Tribolium castaneum: one gene and its partner. The protein of the gene in region 1 purifies or fractionates together with the protein of each later gene. This does not show direct contact. Links are inferred from orthologs where the notes say so. Each region holds a gene or a part of one and is shown in the gene's direction. Other genes may lie near its edges.

Evidence for each region.
Region 2: the proteins of wapl (region 1) and SMC3 purify together in Homo sapiens (affinity purification with mass spectrometry; 7 studies listed by BioGRID and IntAct, with this or other methods). This does not show direct contact. The link is inferred for Tribolium castaneum from reciprocal best matches to the Homo sapiens genes WAPL and SMC3.

Annotation. Positions count from the first base shown.
Region 1 is NC_087397.1:5,064,060-5,075,201, forward strand, and holds wapl (protein wings apart-like), read left to right. Parts: upstream 1-5,667; coding exon 5,668-5,833; intron 5,834-5,998; coding exon 5,999-7,281; intron 7,282-8,002; coding exon 8,003-8,251; intron 8,252-8,300; coding exon 8,301-8,765; intron 8,766-8,811; coding exon 8,812-9,034; intron 9,035-9,082; coding exon 9,083-9,198; intron 9,199-9,244; coding exon 9,245-9,563; intron 9,564-9,609; coding exon 9,610-9,800; intron 9,801-9,853; coding exon 9,854-9,991; 3' UTR 9,992-10,431; downstream 10,432-11,142. Other genes in the region: paired mesoderm homeobox protein 2, read left to right, coding at 1,119-1,300, 1,349-1,753; uncharacterized protein LOC103315102, read left to right, coding at 2,296-2,339, 2,392-2,562, 2,608-3,859; alpha-2-macroglobulin receptor-associated protein, read right to left, coding at 3,975-4,450, 4,498-4,927, 4,974-5,174; amidophosphoribosyltransferase, read left to right, coding at 10,804-10,955, 11,001-11,142. UniProt on the Homo sapiens protein: Regulator of sister chromatid cohesion in mitosis which negatively regulates cohesin association with chromatin. Involved in both sister chromatid cohesion during interphase and sister-chromatid resolution during early stages of mitosis.
Region 2 is NC_087400.1:604,980-616,446, reverse strand, and holds SMC3 (structural maintenance of chromosomes protein 3), read left to right. Parts: upstream 1-4,841; 5' UTR 4,842-4,979; coding exon 4,980-4,994; intron 4,995-5,047; coding exon 5,048-5,162; intron 5,163-5,207; coding exon 5,208-5,347; intron 5,348-5,395; coding exon 5,396-5,848; intron 5,849-5,899; coding exon 5,900-6,375; intron 6,376-6,431; coding exon 6,432-6,641; intron 6,642-6,692; coding exon 6,693-7,098; intron 7,099-8,430; coding exon 8,431-9,294; intron 9,295-9,345; coding exon 9,346-9,561; intron 9,562-9,620; coding exon 9,621-9,757; intron 9,758-9,805; coding exon 9,806-10,385; 3' UTR 10,386-10,454; downstream 10,455-11,467. Other genes in the region: Golgin104 (coiled-coil domain-containing protein 186), read right to left, coding at 1,439-2,416, 2,467-2,799, 2,851-3,063; large ribosomal subunit protein uL30m, read right to left, coding at 10,455-10,875, 10,920-11,041. UniProt on the Homo sapiens protein: Central component of cohesin, a complex required for chromosome cohesion during the cell cycle. The cohesin complex may form a large proteinaceous ring within which sister chromatids can be trapped.

The DNA of each region.
Region 1 (11,142 bases):
ATACACGCAGTAAAATCAATTAAAACTTTTCAAGCTGAACCTCTTTTAATTCATGCGTTTTTAATGATTTTGTTCTCTCTACTAATAGTACTAATTTTACATTTAGTTTTCATAATCCACTTTTATTTCCCAAATGACACTCTAGATGATTTTTACAATTCAATAAAAAATGCAAAATTCAATTAATGAAAGTTTAAATAAGTCAAAGCTAGGTTTGCAAGTCTAAAATGTATGAAAACTTGATGAACATCGTTCTTGGTTTGTTGTCTTCTTCTCACATTTACATATTTAAACAATTAAATTTTATACACACATAGACCTTTTGATATTCATTTCTCGTATTTATAACGCCGCTTTCTGCAGTTGTTCCCGATGAAATGTAAATTAAAGACACTAATTACACTTTATACAGTGTATTAAAGCAGCTTACGTGCCATTGTCTGTGCATTCGTCTGTTGCCCATATATTTTGCCCATTTAGTGCCAACAGTAGCAACTGCACTCGCCCATAATTTTGACTCACTACTAGGTGAACACGATAATAAAGTCACTTTTCCAAGTAAATTACGGTCTCCTCTAAAAACAAATCTCAACTGTTATTTTATCTGCATTTAATTTACATGTTAAATGTGTCTCACATAGTAAAATAAATCACATTTGATGGCTTAATGAGTTGATGGTTCCAAGAAAGTTTATTTTTAATAAAGCTTTGCGGTTCCCGCAACTGCATAATCGTCAATATTATCGTTTCTATAATCGATGCATCAGTTTCGAATTCGGAATTTTCAGATGTTGCGACTGAAACAGTCTGAAATATCAGATTACGTTGCAACAAGCAGCTCATTGAGATAGACAGAGACGTCTTTGATCTGTCCTTTGATCCAAGCGTTTGAGATATTCCGGTCGGACGCACCGGTCCACGTTTATCATTTCTAATTACATGATGCATTGCTTTTAAAATGATTCTGCTTAAACGCACTGCATGCACACATGTCCCGAGCTTTGCGATTTCATCGCGATTGGCAAATGCAAACATCCGTTCTTACGTAGACCTTGAAAACGCGTCTATTTTTAATTACTATTCGCACTTTTTGGACTTGACTCTTAGCCTTCTTCCAGAATCCGCATCCGAAAACTCGCGAAGCGACGAAAAAACGAAAAAACCGAGACGCAACAGAACCACGTTCACCACCGTCCAGCTTGCAGCTTTGGAGAAAGTTTTTGAAAAAACGCACTATCCGGACGCCTTCGTCCGAGAGGATTTGGCGGCAAAAGTCAACTTGAGCGAAGCCAGAGTTCAAGTAATTGTCGAAAAAAATGCGATTAATTTTTGCTGACTATTTTTTTAGGTTTGGTTCCAGAACCGACGAGCTAAATTTCGCAGAAATGAGAGAAGTTTAAGTCTGCAGCAGACCCCAGCGACCAAATTATCTTGCAACAAGCCTATGACACCGCTGGCTCCTCGGACTGACTCAGTGGAAAAACCTTTATTTTCGCATCAAAACGTAATTCCTCCGCATGCTGCCTCCGATCTGCAATATGTGATGCCTTGGAAGTGTTCTCACGGACAATATGGACAGCCCGACTTATACGGCAATAATTTTAATTCGCCGATGGGGGGCCAAACGTGCCCTTTTCTCCCAACAAACCCTTTCAATTATTGTTCACCCAATATTTCAGCGGGCTCGATGTGCAACCGATTCGACGTAAACTCGCTGAGGTACAGGCATCAAGACTTTACGCTGTCGCCGTAGAAGTGCAATTTGAGGATAATTAACTTGTAAATTTACCACTGATTTAGAAAATAGTTGTTTATTACCAATTAAAGAATTTGACAATGACTGTTGTATTTTTTATTCTTTTTTCAGTGACCTTAGTGAGATACTTACTTACATATAGATACTTTTTACAAAAACTTTCTGGAATCATTTGACTAATTAATTAATTAAACTAAACAAGATAAATATTAAACGGGGCAGTGTTTAATTTTAACAAAAATATTATATTAAAGAACACGAAATATTTGTAATAAGTGTAAAAAAACGGCGCAATAAAAAGTTTATAATTTCTCAAACTTATAATTTTTTTCGGAAATATTTTTTTGGCGGGAAAATACTCTGACAAACATTACTCCTAATATAGTCAACTCACAATACGCGTTTGTGCTGGGTGTGACATACAATAAAATGTCAAATTGTTTGACAATTAAAAAAGTCAGGTTAAGACTAACCCTTTATTTTTATTTCGTAATTGTTCAGGTTTTTTTAATTTAATCTATGTATAAAATGTGTTAAAAATGGATGATAACTTAGACGACTACGACTTTACCCCTTCGTCTAGGTAAAATAAAAAAACACGTTGTGTGATCGGTGTTTTTTACAATTGTCTTTAGTTCAAATTTGGCTTCATTATTTGGCAATAATTCACCACATTCCGAAACCGCTAGCCTCATATACACTGCCCCCAAACAACCAAAGGCTGGAGGTAGTTCCGAAGTAAAAAACGAGGCCCCAAAGGCAGAAAGCAGTGTTGTTTGTGCAAAAGTCGTCCAAGTTTGGAAATTGTAAGTTTTCATAAAATTATGATTCAGTTAATAGAACAGTTTTAGAGTTGAGGGTAAATACCAAGCGTTGGGCAAATATGGCCTTGCTGTTATTGGATCAACAGTTCAAAATTCCTATGAAATTATTTTGTATAAAGAAAAGCGTAATGTGATAATGAGGGCTAAAGTATCGTCTAGTTTTGAAGTGAACTTAAAGAAGGACGATTTTGCTTCGTTTTACGACAATATTCAAGAGAACTGGTTGATCAAATTTAACAATAATGATGACCGTATGGCTGTTATGAACGTTATTGAAAAGTTCGGGTGTGTTGTAAATCGTGTAGTTGAAAAACAAGACCTCAAAACTGAAAAAACTGATGAAGTTGTAACGCCGGAAAATAAAGCTAAGGCTGATATATTGTCAAGAATTGCCAAAATGGGGCAGTCTATTTTACCGAATAAAGACTTAGATACAGATAATGATTCTGTTGAAAGTGCAGACAGTACAGTATCCACCCACCAAGTCAGCTCAACATCAGCTGTTATCAAGACTTCACATCAAATTCAAAACGTTCCAAATAATTTTGTTATGAGTCAACCGATGGTTTACGACCCTTTAAATTTGTTGTTTGCTGAAAACCGTGCACAAAATAGTGAAGTCAGGTTAAATTTATCGCAAATTTCGGACAAATTAAATCAGATTATTAGTTTGGTTGACTCAGATAAGCCCAGTGACAACTCAAATAGCTTGAAAAGTAGACTCAAAGTGTTGGAGTTGCGTAATGAAAACTTGTTGAGGGAATTGGGATCAAGTCAGGAAGAAAACGCAAAACTCAAATTACAATTGAAGGAACACGAAAGTAATTTGAAGAGTGAGGAAGAGAATAAACTGGAATTGAGGCTTTTGGAGGAACAAGAAACCGTCAAACGAGAGAAATTGGAAAAAGAAATTTGTGCACACAAGGACGAAATCGCTGCCCTTTCTAAAACCGTGGAGAAACAAATAGAAGAAATTGAGGCTTGCAAGCAGTCAGAATTAGCTCAGAAAGTTGAAATTTCACGCCTCGAAAATACCATTTCTGATTTGAACACAAAATTGCAAGGTTATGAGAATAAGGAAGCAAGACCAGAAATTTGTGAGGAAAAAAATGCGAAATTTATTGCGTCACTCAAGGATGCGATGAATAATATGTACGCAAATATTATGTCAAGTTGCAGCGAAGATCAGCAAACCGAAATCGGCAAAATTGTTGCCCAAAACATCAAAACCACGACACTACAAATAATTCAAAATTTCCAACAAGAGTATGAAAGTTAGACTGAGGGAAAATAATCATTTCCAATTATTTGTGATACGTATTATATTCGTTAAAAAATACTACAAAATAAACAATTCAAATGCATTTTTGTTATTTACAACACTAATTAGATAATCACAATTCAATATGCCTCTGCATTATCCTAGTTTCCAGATCCAAGTGAATTTTCTCGACCTTCCTTGCATGCTTTTTAATCGTGTCTTCCATCATCTGCATTCCGTTTGTTTTACCCCCTGCCATTTCCATTTTTTTCTTGTGCAGATCTTCTTTCAAGGCAGCTTCAGCCTGAAGATGCCTCAATTTAAGTAACCTATTTTCATAGTGCAGGAGCTCCACTCGTAACGACTCCAACTCGTCAGGTTTAAAGTTACTTTCAATTGCGATTTTCCATAAACCTTGAACTTTGGGTTCCACAAATTCTTTACTGTTGGGCCCCTTTGCCGCCAGCAAATGCAAGCGGTCGTAGCCGTCCCGGATATCCTTGTGCTGCTCCCTGAGGAGGTTCACTTTGTCCAGATAATCCTTGTTTGCCTGTGGCTCTTCCAGACTTTCAATGGTGTTGAATTTGTCTAAACCATCATCTACCGAATCTAGAATTAAAAAATTAATTTGTGGCACAACGATTGAAGGAACATACTGGCAGTGTTATCGTCTTGTTCCTTGCCTTTGACATCATGCAACAAAGCGTAATATTGGTCAACTTTATCCTGGTGGTGGGTAAATTCCTCTTTTAAAGCCGCCAACTCCTCGGCCGTAAAACCAGCAGTCTCGGCTTTTTCCCACAGTTTGTTCAACTTTTTATCTTTAAATAAACTCTTGTTTATGTATTTGTCGGAGGCCTCATTCAGAGGTTTATGAGCTCTATATTTAGACGGGTCTTGCACGTCATCGGCTTGGTCCAGTAAATTATAGGACCCCATTATTGTCAGCAATTTCTTCCTCAACTCGGCCTCTTTTAACCCGTCTTTGTCCTTCCCCTCTGCTTTCAAATGCTTCCAAGTGATTTCCTCTTTATCGTGCAATTTCAATTCGCCAAACAGGGATTTTAGTTTAGGTTCAGAGAGCCTCTAAATATTAATTTAATTAAAGCAGCTACTGGTTGTAAATACGTACCACCACAGCCTTGGACCATAAGAGATTTAATTTAGCCATCCTGAAAGGCTTATCCAGGTGCTTCAGCGACACCGGCCGAAAATCCACATCATCGTTCGATTTTTTCACATTCGCTTCGGCCGAATATTTATTGTGACAATGAGAAATCGACGAAAAACTAACAATTAACACACCAATTATCAACTTATCGATAGGACACATCTTTTTGGGTTATTTTTGAAAAGTTGGACGAAAATTTTTGACAGTTGCAAGCGGTTGTATAAATTTGACAGATGAGCGTCGTTGCAACAGCCAACTGTGCAACCTTACGTAGATTTCGTAGCCGTTATTTACTGGCGTGTTTATAACGTGAAAATTCTATTGACAAGAAAAACCTAATTATTTCCCGCATTTTCCCAAAAGTGGAAACCCTCATACAAATAATGTGGTATCTGTGACACCTTACCAATGCCTGCAAGCCCACTTAATAAATATCAATGGACCTTCATCATTTGATGAAAATGGCGAAGTTGAACCAATTTTAACAAAATACACCAAAATGTACAGATAAATCGCCAAAATAACATCATGGAACTCGATAGTATTACTAGATAGGACGTTGGGGACGCGTTTGTATTGCCAGGAATTTTGCCAGGGCTCAAGTTTTAATCCGAAATGTTTGAGTGAGGGGTACTTTTGAGTTCAACTTTTAAAAATGTCAAGAGGGTATGGGAAGTATCGCCGTGGAGGAAGTTCACATGCAAGTTTCCATTTCGACAATTTATTTAAGGAAAATGCTAACAAACCATCTGCCGCAAGGTCTGCAGCCACTGTGGGCAAGTGGGGCATCACCTCCTTCACTTCCATACGTACCAGCAATGGTAAGTTGCCCCTCGACAATTTTCGACATACAACTATAATTTCGCAACAGTTCTGTTTTTGTGGTCATTAATACTTATGGAATTGAGTTGATTTAGTTAGGTTTTTTTAAGAGCCAGTAGTTTAAGCTCTCAAAGCCCCCATTCACTGTAGTTGTTATAATCCAGGTTTGTCTCGTTCAGAAAACGAAAAAAACGCCTCATCTGAAGGAGAGTCCGTGCCGAAGCCGAAGAAGTTCTTCAAGAGTCGCAACACGGAACCCCCTGACCTGTCTTCGTCCTACAAGGCCGACATGACATACGGCAACGTAACAAAGAAGCTGAAATTAGTAAACGAACCGACGGAGAAATCCAAAAGTGTTGGTCGTAAATTTTTTTCGTCAAAGAGCAACTCGCCTGAAAAGACTGTACTAAGTTCAAATGTAAATAATTCTAAACGAAACGAAACAAAACCTCCAATAGTTTTAAGGATATGTAAAGGAAAATCCCAGTTAGTGAACGATTCGGACGAATCTGAAAGCACGCCCACACCATCCAGCACCCCATCGACTTCAAACGCCACCTCTCCAAGGGCTCTCAGGGACACAGCACAAAGATCACCAAATTGTCGCATCACCAGGTCAGCGAGAAGAAGCATGCAACAGGACCCCAGCAGCAGTCCGGCAACGGCCGACACTCCGACCGAATTCTCCCTCTTCACTTCGCCCAAACAGGACATAGACCTGTCCCCGCAATACATCCCAGCTGAAAGATACGAAATGGAGCGGAAAGCCATGTACGATAACTTGCTTAAACCAAACTCGCCTTCGCAGCTGTTCCCCGAAGAGAAGAACAGCACCGAAGATTCAGGAATTGATTACGTAGATAGCGAAATTAGTGCCGAAAAAGAGCCGGAAGAAACCGACAAAACCGAACAAATCGAAACTAAACCGAGTGAAACCATCGAAGAAAAAAGCCAACCGGTTGAAGAAACCAAATCGGGGGAAGAACCAGTGACCAAGGGTTCAATAGAAGAGGAATGGGACACCGACGAGGACAGCAACAGCACCACCCCAGACTCAGAAATCAAAACGCAGCTAACCGAGGATTCGGAACCGCTCCCACTGCCGGTGGAAGAGCAGAAGGAGAAAAGTGCGGAAGAAGGCGCCCCCGAAACTAGCCCTCCCGTTAAATTAGTTATCTCAAAGAAGAAAGGAAGTATTTTTAAAAGTAGACCTTTAGTTACGGACGTGACGAAAAAACGGCGCGCGTTGTACAGACACAAGTGGAGTGATGATAAAGACGCCACGCAAAAATCGAACGAAAATCCTAGTAGCAATAATACGGGTGGTTCAGTGTATGACGAGTTCAGTTTTAATGATGATCCTTTGACGAGGGTCACGGTTGGGGGCAACAGCGACGGCGAGGACGAGAGTGTGACCAGTATCAAGTGCACCAAGAGTGACAAAGGGGTGAGTTGTATGAAGACAAAAAAATACAAGCATTAAAAAGTAACTCATGTTTACAAAAAATTATTTTTGAACATTATATTAAAATTAAAATAATATTTATACGAAATTTAACAAATAAAATATATTTATTTTTTTTATTATGCCCATAGAACACTACATAATTTAATATAATTTAAATGGCCTCAATTTGGTGATGAACTGATGAATTTTTTAAAAGTTTTTTTCTGTAATATAATCATAAACTGTACTTTTAAACTAGTTATTAACATAATACAGCATGAATTAATTGTGTATTCCTGAATTTTTTTGAATAAAATAATAAGTAATTGAATCAAATAAATTGAAGCATCAAAAAAAATAAGAAGAAGATAAACAATTCACAGTTATCTATACTTGGAGTACAGACGTTCTGCTAATTTTTTAATTTAAATATTGAATATTACATAGTACCATAAGTAATTAATAATTCTTTTTACAACCGAATCATATATACTTGAAATATTTTGTAAACCAGTGTAATTAAATAAGAACAGGTTTTAGTTAATATAAACAAAAGTGAGAGACGCATTTTTTGTAAAGAAAACATTAAAAAAGCTTCATTTGGATGGTATTACGCATTTGTCAATAAAAAGTTATTTGCTAAAAAAATAAACGTTCTTGTTATTTCGCTTTGTGGACTGTTACTGTTTGGTTTATCTGATTAATTTGTATGTTTTCTCAGTTTTACACAGTCGTCCGCAACGTGAAGAAAGCCCACCAGATCCAGGAAATCGGCGAATTTCAAGAATTCAACGACGACGTGGAGTACATCCTTGATGCCTTGCAGGATAATAATCCAATCAGTACTCGCTGTTTATCGGCCATTACTCTAGCTTCTAAATGTATGGTGCCTGCGTTCCGGATGCACGTGCGTGCTCACGGAACCGTAGCTAAATTTTTCAAGGCACTACATGACGCCACCAAAGACCAAGTATTATTTCACCAATTGAAATTTCCAAATTACTCAAATCGTGTTTTAGAGTCTTGGTCTATGTACAGCGACTGTCATGTTCGTCCTGAGCCAGGACCGGCTCAACATGGACCTAGACCGCGATTGCCTCGAACTCATGTTAAACCTTCTCGAATCGGACGTAAGCTACCAGCAAGCGCTCGACGTCTGCGGCTTGAGCTCGGCCCAGTTGGAGAAAAATAAACAGAAAGTTAGGGAGCTGTGTGCCGAGATACAAAGTCAAGGGCATGCCATGCATCTGAATCTCGATAATATAACTGTGGGTCAATTGGCAATGGAGACGCTTTTGAGTCTCACGTCGAAAAGGGCAGGCGAGTGGTTCAAGGAGGAGCTGCGGGAGTTGGGCGGCTTGGAGCATATTATGAAGACGATATGCGAGTGCTGTAGACAGGTGTCTGATTATGTGGTTTCGTGGACTGATGCCTTGTTAGATAAACTTCGGAAAGTTGATAGGTGTTTACGTGTGCTGGAAAATGTACGATTTTTATGTGAATCGGCGCAAAATAACTTTTCACTTGTAGGTCACTCATAATAATGAAGAGAATCAAACGTACCTGTTAAAATATAATGATGGAGTAATTTTAGATACGCTCGTTAATTTGTATAAACTATGTGATGGTGAAATACCTCTGTATCCAGTGACTGATATAACCGATAAGGAGTCGACTGGGACTATAATAAGGGAAGCTCTTCTCGTAACTCTGAAAGTATTAATTAATTTAACACACCACTTTAGTAAACAATGTAGGTTCTGACAGTTAAAATTTCACCCAATTAACACTGTTTTTACAGCCATGGGAAGTACCTTAATAGGTTCGAGGAACGGCATTATTGAAACAAGCCTGCATCTGCTTCTCCAAGTGCCGCACTATATCCCCGAACAAAAGAAATTCGAATTGGGAGTTTTGGTAATAATTTATTGTGTCCCAAACTTCAAATAACCAACTATTCCAGGTCCTCATGTTGTTGATTAACCTTATTCAAGATAACGACAACAACAAGAAGCTGTTGATTGAAGCCAAAGCCCCGTCAAAGCTGGAAAGTATTTATTCAAGTGAGTCAAAAATCACTTCGGTGGTGTTTGCTGACTGTGAATTTGTAGGAGAAGAAAGTGCCGTTGAGGCTTTGATCGCGCAATTTTATCACTGGGAAGGGTGTGCGAAAATCGCTGAAAAACGGACCAACGCGATATTGGACGGTGAAAAAGATGAGAACAGTGGTAACGTTGCGTACAAGTCAAATGAGGAATTTATCGAGGAAACTGTCGCTAAATGTGAGTTATAATAATTTGTTGCGATTTTATAACTGTGTGGTTCTAGTGCTACAAAAAGCCGGCACACATATGGAGTACACCTTCCTGGCTTCGTACATCGTTATGTTGATTGGATTCCTGATAATGGACAACAAGGAGTACCAAAATAACGTGCGACAGTTCCTCCGTGGGAACAATTTTGCCGATATGGTCGAACTGTTGAAGAAGTTCTTCAATTTTATGAATTTAACTGCTTCGGTACGTGTTGTTTTGTTGCTAAATGTTGGTTTTATGATTGTTTTTTTTTACAGACGGAAGCGTCAAGCGTTTGCGCAATTAAAGCCACCGAAAAAGTCATCAAGTTTCTGGAAGAGTGTGACAGTCCTCCGCCTGAAGAGAAGCCGAGTTATACGGAGTGTATGGATCTTAGTTACACAATGGCACACTAGCATTTAAATATTGTAAAGAATCAGTTTTGGTAAATCGTAAGAACGTTTCAAAGTGGTGATTGACTATGAAAATGCACCATCATTTCTCTAGTACTTACAGTTTACTGAAATCACAAAAGTAGAAAAAATACAAAAAAATAGTCATATTGATAGTTGACCTAGATTACTGAACTGAAACATTTCATTCTTTATTTTATTACCTTATTCTGTTGTTAGTATTATTTAGTGTTAAGCCTATGAAATTTAACGTAAGGTTCAGTATGTCGTTTTATATTTTTATCGTGGCGAATTTATAGTTTTGTTCAAGTGTATATACTTACTACTGTATATGAATTTTCTTATTTATTTCATGACTAGATTACTTGTAAAATTACCATAATGTTATTTGGATTGTTTAAATATAATGTACATAATAAATACTGATACTTTTTAAAGTTTTATTCATTGAGTTTCTTTCAAACCTGCACAGACAATACTTCACGGGGCGATGAACAGACACCGTAGAAAAAAATTAAAAATACCTTCTTATAAAAAATTGGATTACCTTGTACCTACCTGTCCTAAAGAGTCCCATCTAATCAATAATGATTGTATGTTATTTAAACATGAGTCAGAATAATAATTTATTTCTCTTGGCCTCTGCGAAATAAATTGTGAAGATATGCAAATAATTTTCCCCTACGATTTTTATGTTGCCTACGTAGCACCCATCCCTCGCCCATTCATGGGTCTCAAAACGTGCAACAGGTGTTTTACAGTTATTTGTAACCTGAAACCACGTGTGTGCAGTTTTTGAATTTGTAAGTTCAGCAATGGCATTGAAAAATGCGCCTCGGGACGACTTTACTTCCGGTTTGACGCACGAATGCGGCGTTTTTGGGGCTATCGGCACAAGTGACTGGCCCAACACGAACTCTGAAATCGCTCAGATAATCTGTATCGGTTTGGAAGCCCTCCAGCATCGGTAAAGTCGCTGGGGTTATCAAACGAATGATTAATTATTTAATAGGGGTCAAGAGTCATGCGGTGTCGCAACAAGCGAAGGAAGCGAAGATTTTCACATCCACAAAGGCATGGGCTTGGTCAAGAACGTCTTCAATAACGACAATATCAGCAAACTGAAAGGCTCACTAGGGATTGGGCACACGAGA
Region 2 (11,467 bases), on another chromosome or scaffold:
TGCCAATCGATTCCCCGGATCATTTTGCATAGGCATGGATCAAAATAGTTCCACTTTTTATAATAGTTTAGCCGTAAATGAGAAAATAAAAAAAATTAAAAAAAAGTTAACACCCCCCCTTAGAAATCGGTCAATTTTTAAAATGTCTCAAAATCAAATAAAACCGACTCTATCTTATAGATTTTGATGTGCTCTTTCCGATCTAAAAAAGCGTTTTCTCCTAGCTCTGTTAGTTTGGCCGTAATCGGCGTTTGAAAATTGAAAAATTTTTTGCGAGATATCGCCTTCAGTCCTATGCCATTTTGTAGAGTTTTTTATTCCGGTTATCCTCCATTTTTCCGTTTCGCGATATCTTTAATAGTTTGGCCGTAATTGGCGGTTGAAAATTGAAAAAAAGTGAAAATGGAAACCTTTTTTTGCGTTTTTCTCGGAAACTGTAAGACTTAGAGCAACGAACAAAAAACATCTGATAGCGCTTAATTTTAGCTATTTTTTGGTCTAAACCCGGAGCCGCTCCGGGCAACGGTTCCCGCTACAGAGGCGATCAAAGTTTTTCACTTAAAAAATTCATAAAAAAAAAACTAAAAGTCGTAGAGCAATGAGGTTTGTTCGGTTGAATTCTACGGCTCATTTTACAAAATATATCAATTTTTCACAAGAATAAAAAATTTATAATTTTTTGCCTAAATTTAGCGTAGCCATTATTTATGGTGAACAGTTTTATTCAACAAAAAAATTCATAACTCGAAAACTAAAAGTCGTAGAGCAATGCGGTTTGTTCCATTGAACTCAGCGGCTCATTTTCTGTATTATACTAACTTTTCACGAGATTTAAAATTTTCAATTTTTTTGCTAAAATTTCCTGAGTAATAACACTTACCTTCAAAGAGGTGAAAAAAATTTTTTTTTAAACTCACTCCAGTAAATTTTTATGGACTTCTACATGTCTTAAACAACCCACAAAAGTTGTTTTTAGTCCACAAAAAGTCCATATATTCAATTTTTTGATGTTTGATTTTTTTAATTTTCGTCGCAAATTTTGTCGATTTTCGGTACCCGGACATTTCTCGAGCAATAGCTCCCGAACTATCAGAGATAACCCCATGAAGTGTATTATCGTTGGAAAGCTCTTTAAATTATCTATTGTTTTAAAAAAAAACTATTCTTCTCCGACTAATAGTTTTCGAGCAAATTGGAGACAAATGCAAAATTTGGTAAAATTTTAAAAAATTCATAACTAAAAAACTATTGGGAATTTGGCAATTTTCTTGATGCCAATCGATTCCCCGGATCATTTTGCATAGATATGAATCAAAATAGTTCCACTTTTTAGAATAATTTTGCCGTAAATGACAAAAAAAAAATAAAAAAAGTTAACATTATTTTAAGCAGAAGATTGCGGAAATATTCAAAAAAAATTTCTCCCAACGCAAACAACCTTAACTTGCTCGTTGGCCGGCGACCCCACACTAAGCGACGAATTCGAGCTACTACTACTCTGGTTCTCCACCTCGTACTGTTCCAGCCTTTTCCGACACTGTTGCAACTCCTTCTGCACCTCCTTCAGCGACAACTCGCACTTCCGCTTCAGCAACTTATTTTCGCCCTTATGATCCCCCACCTCCTGCTTCAACCTCTCGCACAAACCCCGACTCTCGTCCAACTCCACCCTCAACCCCTCCACTTCCGCACTCAATTTGGCCCTTTCTGCGGTCATTTGCGCCGAAACCACCGCATTTTTCGTCTCTTGCTCCTTCAGCGAGCGCTTGAGTATCGTTTGCTCGCAACTCAACTGCTGGACTTTGGTCTCCAGCGCCGTAAACTCCGACTGTAATCGCACATTCTTCTCGGTCAACTGTTGCGTGAAGAGCAACAGTTCAGCCTCGCGCTCTCTACAAGCCAGGATATCGGCCTCGAGCTCGGCGTTGCGCTGCTTTAAAAGACTGATTTGCTCGTTACAAGCTTTATTCTGCTCTTGTTCGTTCTTTAACTGTAGTTTTAATTGGTCTAAGAGGGCCGTTTTTGCTTGTAAGTCGGCGCAGTCTTGGCGCTGCTGGTCGGCACAGGCCTTGAAATCGCTCAGTTTCTGCTCGCTTTCCAGGCGATCGCGCTCCAAGTGCTGCACTTTGAGGGAGAGAGCGTTGTTCTCCTGCAGCATGTCTTTCTGCTTCGTTTGGAGCTTCTCCAGCTGGGAGTGGAGGGATTTGATTTGTTGCTCCTTGTCTTCTTTCTCGTGCTTGAGGAGGATCAGAGCAGCTTGGAGCTCCTTCAGTTGTTGGTCAAGGACGTGAGCTCGGTTGTCCTGGGAGCTGTGAAACGATTTGATCGATTCTTGCGCGTCTTTTTTCGCCTGTTCTATCTGATCGGAGGCGTCCTGGCATTTTTTTGTCATTTCGTCAAGACGGCTCTGGGTTTCCTGTAATTAAATAAAACAGCTACTTTAAAAAGTCCGGGTACTGTACTGACTTTGTGGAGCTGGACCTCCGTCTTGAGGCTGTTTTGGGACCACTTGAGCTTCGTCTCCAGGGCGCTCAAGTCGGCCTTGGCTTGCTCCAGCTCCTGTTGGCAGCCCCTGAACTCGTAACACTTGTTATCGAGCATTTGGCAAATTCGGGACTTCTCTGAGCCCATCACTTGGACCTTGTGCTGGATTATTTCATTCTCGTTGACTTGCTCTTTGTATTTTTTCTCGATTTGCTCCTTCTGGTGCTTCATATCAAGCAAGTTCTTCTCACTAACGGCATACTTGATCACCATTGCTTCCTTCTCCTTCTGGGCCAATTCTTTCTGCTTGCTTGCCTTAAAACACCAATTTTACTAACAATTAACGCCAAAATTGTGAAAAATTACTAGGTCTAGTTTGGACTCCACGAGAGACAATTTCTGGGTCAGCTGTGCGATTTCTTCAGCCTGTTCTAATACCTTGTTTGTGATTTCGATTGATTGATTCTCGTTGATGTCAACAGCGTCCGGTGGGTCTTTAGCTTCATTTGGACCCCCTTGAGGGCCCACATTGGGGCCACCTTCTGACATGAGTGAGGTCTCCGGAGACTTATCACTCATTGTAAGTTTAGAATTATGACCAAAATCACATTTTAAACTGTTTAAATTGTTCCCGATCAATAGAATTTGTAATAATATTCTAATTAAACATATTTAACACTTCGATTTACCAACACAACTAGACAACCAACATTACATGCCACTGACGTCGACAAGTTGTGGCTAAAGCTACGCCCAAACGCCCGGCCTTGCGGCCCCAATTATTAAATTACGACGCCTTTAATTACAACTTTGTCACTGTTTTACGATTGCAAGGACTCAAATCAATAATCTGGGCTTCAAAGTGTTTTTTTTAAATGCGATAATTCGCTAAATTATCAATTCATCAAGTTACCACAATCGTCAACTGTCACCAGGGTTAGTCAAGCGGCATAGGAGAAACGGTTTATTAAATCATACTATCAACATGCGGCGCCACGTGCGTTATCTATGCAGATTTCTGTAAATTTGGGGTACGTGGCACGGTCGTTAATAGAAACTACTTATGCCATCTTTTGGTAGTGTGATTTCAAATTAAATCCACGAATTTATCCAAAAATCCAAAATATTAAGCAACCTTTGGCGCGCAATGTCACACTACATTCAACGGTGTCAAAAAGTTGTTTCAATTTTAAAGGTTTCAGTTTCCAATTTGAATTATTCTGCTACGTGTTGTGTTCGTGGTTTTCTCTTTTTATTCTTATTTGAATTCGTTTGTTGGTGTTATGTACTCCTAAAGTAATCTCAAAAACATTTAAGTTTTGAACTTTCGAAGGCTAAAATTTGGTAAGTCGGGATTTTTTTGCCACCAAAAATACTATGTAATACATATTTCCAGCTCTGGTGTGGACCTAGTATACACTTAAAAGGCAACCTACAACGTTTATTAAACAACTTCTGGCTGGCTGGTACACATGATTCTGGAAACAGTGCATCTCTTTACTTGTGAGAGCTATCCAGAAACAAATCGACGTGGACACCAAAAATAACTTCGAGAATTTAAACCAAATTTCATTTTTTGAGTGGACATCTATGATGGACACCGTTTAAGACTTGTACCTTGCACATAGTGTCTTTTATTTAATACACGCGTTCATTCATTCATTTGTACAAAAGCCACAAAAACGTATCTTGAACTCCCTCCTTTTTACCGTTAAGTTTCAAAACTGGTGAATCCACCAAAGTGGAGTCCTTACATTAAAATCAGAAAAACCTCTTACTCATAATAAGTTCATATAAGTAAATTTGTTGTAAAGTCATCTATGTGAGTCTACAACCAACACGAAAACATACAAGAAATGTTTGCACAAACTATTAAAAGCACTACTTTTCTGTAAAAATTGAATTGGGCACATGTCTAAAACTCCAATGGTACCTTATTAGAGTCCGTATTTACTTATTTAGTTCTTTAATTTTTTTCCAAGTTTCAAAATAATGTTAAATAACTGGTGTTTGATGGTGAGGAAGTCGCCAAATTAATATGTGGAAGCCAAACACGACATTTATTTCTTATAATTGATGTTTTCATAATCTGTGAAACGTTAATTCATTAATAAATTATTTTCATTCATTGTATTTATTATTTTTATATTTATAATACTAACAAAATTTTGCAATTAAACACATTTAACCGATTTTCAATAAAATCGGTTATGTGTGTTTAAATTGTAAAAAAATAAAAAAATTAAATTAATTGTATAAATAATAAAATATTTAAATTTGCCGCCAATTTTAGTTCCTCATACTACCAAGATATGGCGCTATTATCGAAATTTTGACGACCAGTGAATTACGTGTTACTTGATTTTCTATAACTACTATATTCTATGACTGTCACAAAATGGAGGCATAAACTAAAAATGTTTACATTTTGATTTTTGCGTATAATTTGCGAAAAAGTGCTTATTCTAGTGCGTGTCTAGTGATAGGGTCGCAAAATGCACATAAAACAGGTAATGGGCGTTTTTTCTGTCGCAAATTTCACTCGGCGTCCCTCCGGTTGTAGGTTATTATCCAGGGCTTCAAAAGCTACAGAGACCAGACTGTGGTCGAGCCGTTCGACAAGCGCCACAATGTGGTCGTGGGGCGTAACGGTTCAGGCAAAAGCAACTTCTTCTACGGTAATTACCACTAGAATTTTCCCAAATAACCCCCCAAATTTCCAGCAATCCAGTTCGTTCTAAGTGACGAGTTTTCGCACTTGCGGCCCGAGCAGCGCCAGGCGCTTCTGCACGAAGGCACGGGTCCGAGAGTCGTCTCGGCCTACGTTGAGATTATTTTCGATAATTCGGACGCTCGTGTTCCCGTAAGTGTTGGTAAAAAATACAGAAATGGGGTTTAATTTGTGTGGTAGCTCGAGCATGAGGAGATCTACTTGCGGCGTGTAATTGGGGCGAAGAAAGACCAGTATTTCTTGAATAAGAAAGTGGTGCCACGGAGTGAAGTCATGAATTTGTTAGAATCGGCCGGTTTTTCCAACTCTAACCCGTACTATATCGTCAAACAGGGGAAAATCAATCAGATGGCGACAGCGCCTGACGCCCACCGGTTGAAATTGTTGCGTGAAGTTGCAGGAACGCGCGTTTATGACGAAAGGAGGGACGAATCAATGGCGATTTTGAGGGAGACGGAGGGCAAGGTTGAGAAGATTGAGGAGTTTTTGAGGACGATTGAAGAACGTTTGAGTACGCTTGAGGAGGAGAAGGAGGAGCTGAAGCAATACCAACACTACGATAAAATTCGGCGGGCCCTTGAGTACATTATACACGAAGTGGAGTTGAATGAAAATAAGAGGAAGCTTGCTGATGTAATTATTTTTTGTTGGTCAGGTTTGTAAGTGATTTTCGGATGTTTACAGCTTGAAAAACAAAGAAACGAGTCGGGGAACGAGCAGGAGAAGTTGGCGGTGAATTTGAAGAAGGCACAAGATAATATTAAAACCCTCACAAAGAAGACAAAAGAGACGAAAAAAGAACTGACGAGTTTGAAGGAAGAACGTGATATTTTGACCAATGATCAGCAACATTTGATCAAGGAAAAGGCCAAACTGGATTTGACTATTAAGGACTTGTCTGAGGAAGTGCAAGGAGATAATAAATCGAAGGAAAGGGCTGAGAATGAACTGGCGCGTTTAACACAATCTATTAAAGAAAAAGAAGCAGAATTGGAGAAGGTCAAGCCCCAGTATGAAGCAATGAAGAAGCGGGAAGAAGAGTGTACGAGAAATTTGGCTCTAAAGGAGCAAAAACGCAAGGAATTGTACGCTAAACAAGGACGAGGGAGTCAGTTTACGTCCAAGGATGATAGAGATAGGTGGATTCAAAATGAGTTGAAGTAGGTATTTTTTTCTACAATAGGAAACCAACTAGTGGACGTGTTTTTTTTTTCAGATCTTTGAATAAGCAATTAAAAGATAAGCGTGAGCATCGTGACAAACTCGAGGCCGACTTGAAACGCGACGCTGCTAAAACAATCGAACTGACGAAAAAAATCGAAGAACAATCGCAAGAATTGGAACGTCAGAAAAACTGTATCGACGAACATAACAAACAATGCTACGAACTCAAGAAAAACAAAGACCAGTTTCAAGCTACTAGAAAGTAATTTTTTTTTCGTTTAGTTTTTCTCCTTTAGTAATAAAAAAATTGCAGCGAATTGTGGCGTAAAGAAAACAACGTCCAACAAAACCTCTCCTCTCTTAAGGAAGATTTAGCCAAAGCCGACCAGCAATTGCGTTCAATGGCCGGTAAACCAATCCTCAATGGACGAGACAGTGTCCGGAAAGTTTTGGACACGTTTGTGAGTCGTGGAGGGCGCGAAGCCGAAATTGTCAAATCGTATTATGGTCTTGTTATTGAAAATTTCGATTGTGAAAAAAGTATTTATACAGCGGTTGAAGTCACGGCTGGAAATCGGCTTTTTCACCATGTTATCGATTCGGATAAAATTGGGACGCAAATTTTGAAGGAAATGAATCGACAAAAACTGCCAGGAGAGGTCACTTTCATGCCTCTGAATCGACTCAATGTTAGAGATATCAACTATCCAAATGACTCGGTAAGTATAGGGTGAGGCACATGTTAAAAAATCATATCTTTCTTATTATAAAAGAGACACATTTGAAATAAAGACATTATAAAGGCACTTTTTTTCAGAGAATTTAATAATGTTATCAGCGATTTTTTTCAACCATTCGTTTAACTGTAATAACAAAGTTGTATTTTTTTAAATGGGAATCATAGTTGGCTGTGACATTTTCGAAAAGCTTATTTTTTTCTGATTTGATATGTCTATTTGTGTAATACATTAAATTTAAATATTTAAGAAAAAACAAAATATTTCGCTTTTTTTATAGTAGGCCATGAAAAAATTTTGGATTTTTAATTAACACTATGAAAATTGTATTACCCAACAAATATTTATAATTTAATGATTTTTTAAACCCTAATTAATTCAAAAACAGCATAATAAATTTTTATTAGATCAAATTTTTGCAATTAATAAAAATTATTTGTTTTTATATTTAAAATGGCAAGCTTACGTTGTCATTCTATTTTCCAATTTTAAACATGAAATGTCGGAAGAAGAAAAATCTTATTAATTGTATGATTGCGTATCAATAAAATTTTATTTTACAAAAAAATGTCAATCCAAACACCAAAATCAAATTCCATCTGCGGTAAAAAAATACACAACATTTTCAACGTCACCTCCATTGCACTAAATCATAAAAAAGTGGCATCAAGTGGTAGTGAGACATCATTTACAATTTTCTGCACATTTTTTATGTAATTAAAATCTGCGACGCTCGTATATTTGTTCAATTAAAAATAACTTTAGCTTATTTTTATAATTTCACATTTTTTACTTTAATAACCGTTCACAAAATTTCTAGATTATTCACACCTTTTATGTGAAATAATTTTTCCATGGCCAACTATTTTCAAATATTTGAATATATTTTTTATCAAAAAAATATAAAAATATCAAAATATATTTATATTGTTTTGAGTTCAGAAAAAAATAAGCTTTTCGAAAATGTCATAGCCAACTATGATTATCATTTAACAAAATTCAACTTTGTGTTATTACTGCTAAACGAATGATTAAAAAAAATCTCTGAAAACATTATTAAATTCTCTGTAAAAAAGTGCCTGTATAATGTCTTTGTTTCAAATGTGTATCTTTTATAATAAAGAAGATACGATTTTTTTAAGATTTCGCTAAAATGTCAACTTTTGTTTATAAGTCGAAAACAAAAGACGATAGCGAGACGCCGTTTTGACCAAAATTATTCTCTCAAAAAATGGACCCGAGAATTTCATTCGTTTTTCTCTAAACCTGTTTGAAAAAAAAATCGAAATTAATATTTTTCCTAATAATTTTCAGGACGCCATTGCGATGGTTTCGAAGTTACACTACGACCCGAAATACGACAAAGCGATGCGTTACTTATTCGGCAAAACATTGATTTGTCGTAACCTGGATGTGGCCACAAAACTGGCCAGGACCACAGGCCTTGATTGTGTGACGTTGGAAGGTGATCAAGTCTCATCCAAAGGCTCCCTAACCGGTGGTTATTTCAACTCGAATCGTTCCCGTCTCGAAATGCAGAAAAATCGCAGCGAAACAATCCAACAAATCTCGCAATGTGAGAACGAATTAAAATCATTGCGCGAGGAATTGACCAAAACCGAAGCTTCAATTAACAGCATTGTCTCCGAAATGCAGAAAACCGAGACGAAAAATAGCAAAGCAAAAGGGATTTATGATAAAGTCAAGGGCGAGTTGAGGCTAATGAAGGAGGAGTTATCGAATATTGAACGATTTCGAGGGCCGAAAGAACGCTCTCTCGCCCAATGCAAGTCCAGTCTGGAAGCCATGCAGTCAACTCAGGAGGGCCTCGAAAGTGAGCTGCATCAAGAGTTGTTGTCGCAGTTGTCGTTTGCTGATCAGGCCGAGGTTGATACGTTGAATGATGACATTCAACGGTTGCAAAAGGAGAATAAGGAGGCGTTCAGTACGAGGATGAAGCTCGAAGCTGAGAAAAATAAATTGGAGAATTTGTTGACGAATAATTTGATTCGGAGGCGGGATGAAGTGTTGCATGCCTTGCAGGAGATCTCGCTTGAGGATAGGAAACGGCAGTTGGTGAACTCGAAGAGCGACCTGGAGGAGATTGATAGGAAGATTGAGAGGGTTAACAGGGAGTTGACCTCAATGGAGAGCAAAGTCAAGGAAATGGCCAAAAGGGTAAGCAAAAAATTGAAAAAAAATAAAATAAAATAAAAATTTCTGTTCTAGTTAAAAACGGAACAAGGCGAGTTAGAGAATTGGAAGAAAAAGGAGAAGGACGCCCAAGACAAGATCGACGAGGACGCGAAACATTTGGAAAAATACGCAACGAAGCAAAACCTCCTCGAGCAAAAAATCCAAGAATGCGTGGAAAAAATCAACCAATTGGGGGCACTCCCAGCCCAGGATTTGTACTCCCATTATGTGAAAATGTCGTCACGATCGGTAATAAATAATTCTGTCAAAGTGAAGCCTATTTTATTCACGTAATAACAAAATTTTAGCTTTTCAAAGAATTGGAAAAAACCAACAACCAGCTGAAAAAATTCAGTCACGTGAACAAAAAGGCCCTGGACCAGTTTATGAGTTTCTCCGATCAGAAGGAAAAGTTGCAGAAACGTAAAGAGGAACTAGACCGCGGGTAAACCCACTTGGTGTTTGAATTAACTTCCAATTATACATGTTTTAGTGGCGAAAAAATCAAAGAACTGATCGCAATGTTGGAACAGCGCAAATTAGAGGCCATCCAGTTCACTTTCAAGCAAGTCTCGAAGTACTTTTCGGAAGTTTTCAAAAAACTGGTGCCTGCCGGTAAGGCTAAGCTGGTGCTGAAGACAGTCGATAATGAGGAGGGCAAGGATGTGGGCCCGGAAGACACAAACTCGGACCAGTTCAGTGGGATCGGGATTAAGGTCTCGTTTACGGAATCCGACGCCGAGATGAAGGAAATGAACCAGTTGTCAGGGGGGCAAAAGTCGCTAGTGGCCCTAGGCCTGATCTTCGCCATCCAAAAGTGTGACCCTGCTCCGTTTTACCTATTTGACGAAATTGATCAAGCTTTAGACGCCCAGCATAGGAAAGCTGTGGCGAATATGATCCACGAATTGTCGAGCGAAGCCCAGTTTATCACTACAACGTTCAGGCCCGAATTGTTGGAACATGCCCATAAGTTTTACGGGGTTAAGTTCAGGAATAAAGTGAGTCATGTGGAGTGCGTGACGAGGGAAGTGGCCAGGGATTTCGTCGAAGATGACCAAACACATGGCTAAATAAGTTTCAAAAATTTGTTTTTAACTCAAGTTTTGTATGACTTAGCTATTAATAATAAATGGTAGGATTTACAAAGTCGTGTCCCAGGCATCTAACCACTTCCTCCGGGAGTCTCTACGGAGGGTGTCCCCATCCATGCGCTCAGCCTTTGTCTTGAAACTCTCCGCCAGTTGTAAGCGCTCTTCTGACGGCTCCAAGGTCTTCATGACTCGCAATTCGCCGTTTTCTTTCAGGACAGCCCCCTTGGGGCTGGAGGGGAAGCCGTCCGGGAACGTGACCGGTTTAATCTGCACCAAGTGCTTAACCTTCCATAGTCTCTGGTTGTTTTCGGGGATATTTTTAACAATGACAACGTCGCTCTGTTTCCCCGTTAAGTGAAACTCGGCCAGGATTTTTTTCTCGTAGTGGGGCACCCCTTTGAGCGCTTTGATGCGCTGGACCCGGAACACTTTCGATGGCTCGTACGGGGGGTCCTTAAAGTCGGGGTACCTGACAAGACAATCACCACATAACCTCAATTTCTCCAAACTCACCTGGGGTAGTATTTAAAGCCTGGGTACTGAACCCCTTCTTCGGCCCAATTGTAGCGCCGCGTTCTGGTATAGAAACGCTGAATATTGTGGAAAATGTTGATACTTTTGAGAAAACTGGCCATTCTTGTGTGACAGTTAGTTTAAGGTTAGGTTGTGATTTGTGTGAAGACAGCTCCCCAAACCAGCTCCTCGAAATTCCGAAGAAACCCGAACATGAAGCCAGTTTCACACTAGCAAAATACGTTTCAATTTGCGTAGATGTATGTTTGGTTGTCAGCTTTGAAACCGTTTAATAAAATAAAAATCCGAAAAAACACTAAACACCCTCTTAAAAATGACATTTTAAGAAAGTCACTTTGCTAATAGCGAAAAACTCAATTATTTACCACAAATTGCTTCTTAATTTTTCCCACTTTTTCACCTAATTTCAATATTTATAGCTCCGCAAATGCACTATTGCAGTTTTCGCCCCATTTCACCCCGAAATCGGTTTTGTCACACAATGCCCTTTTGACCACTAATTCAACAATAAAAAAGACGTTTTCTAA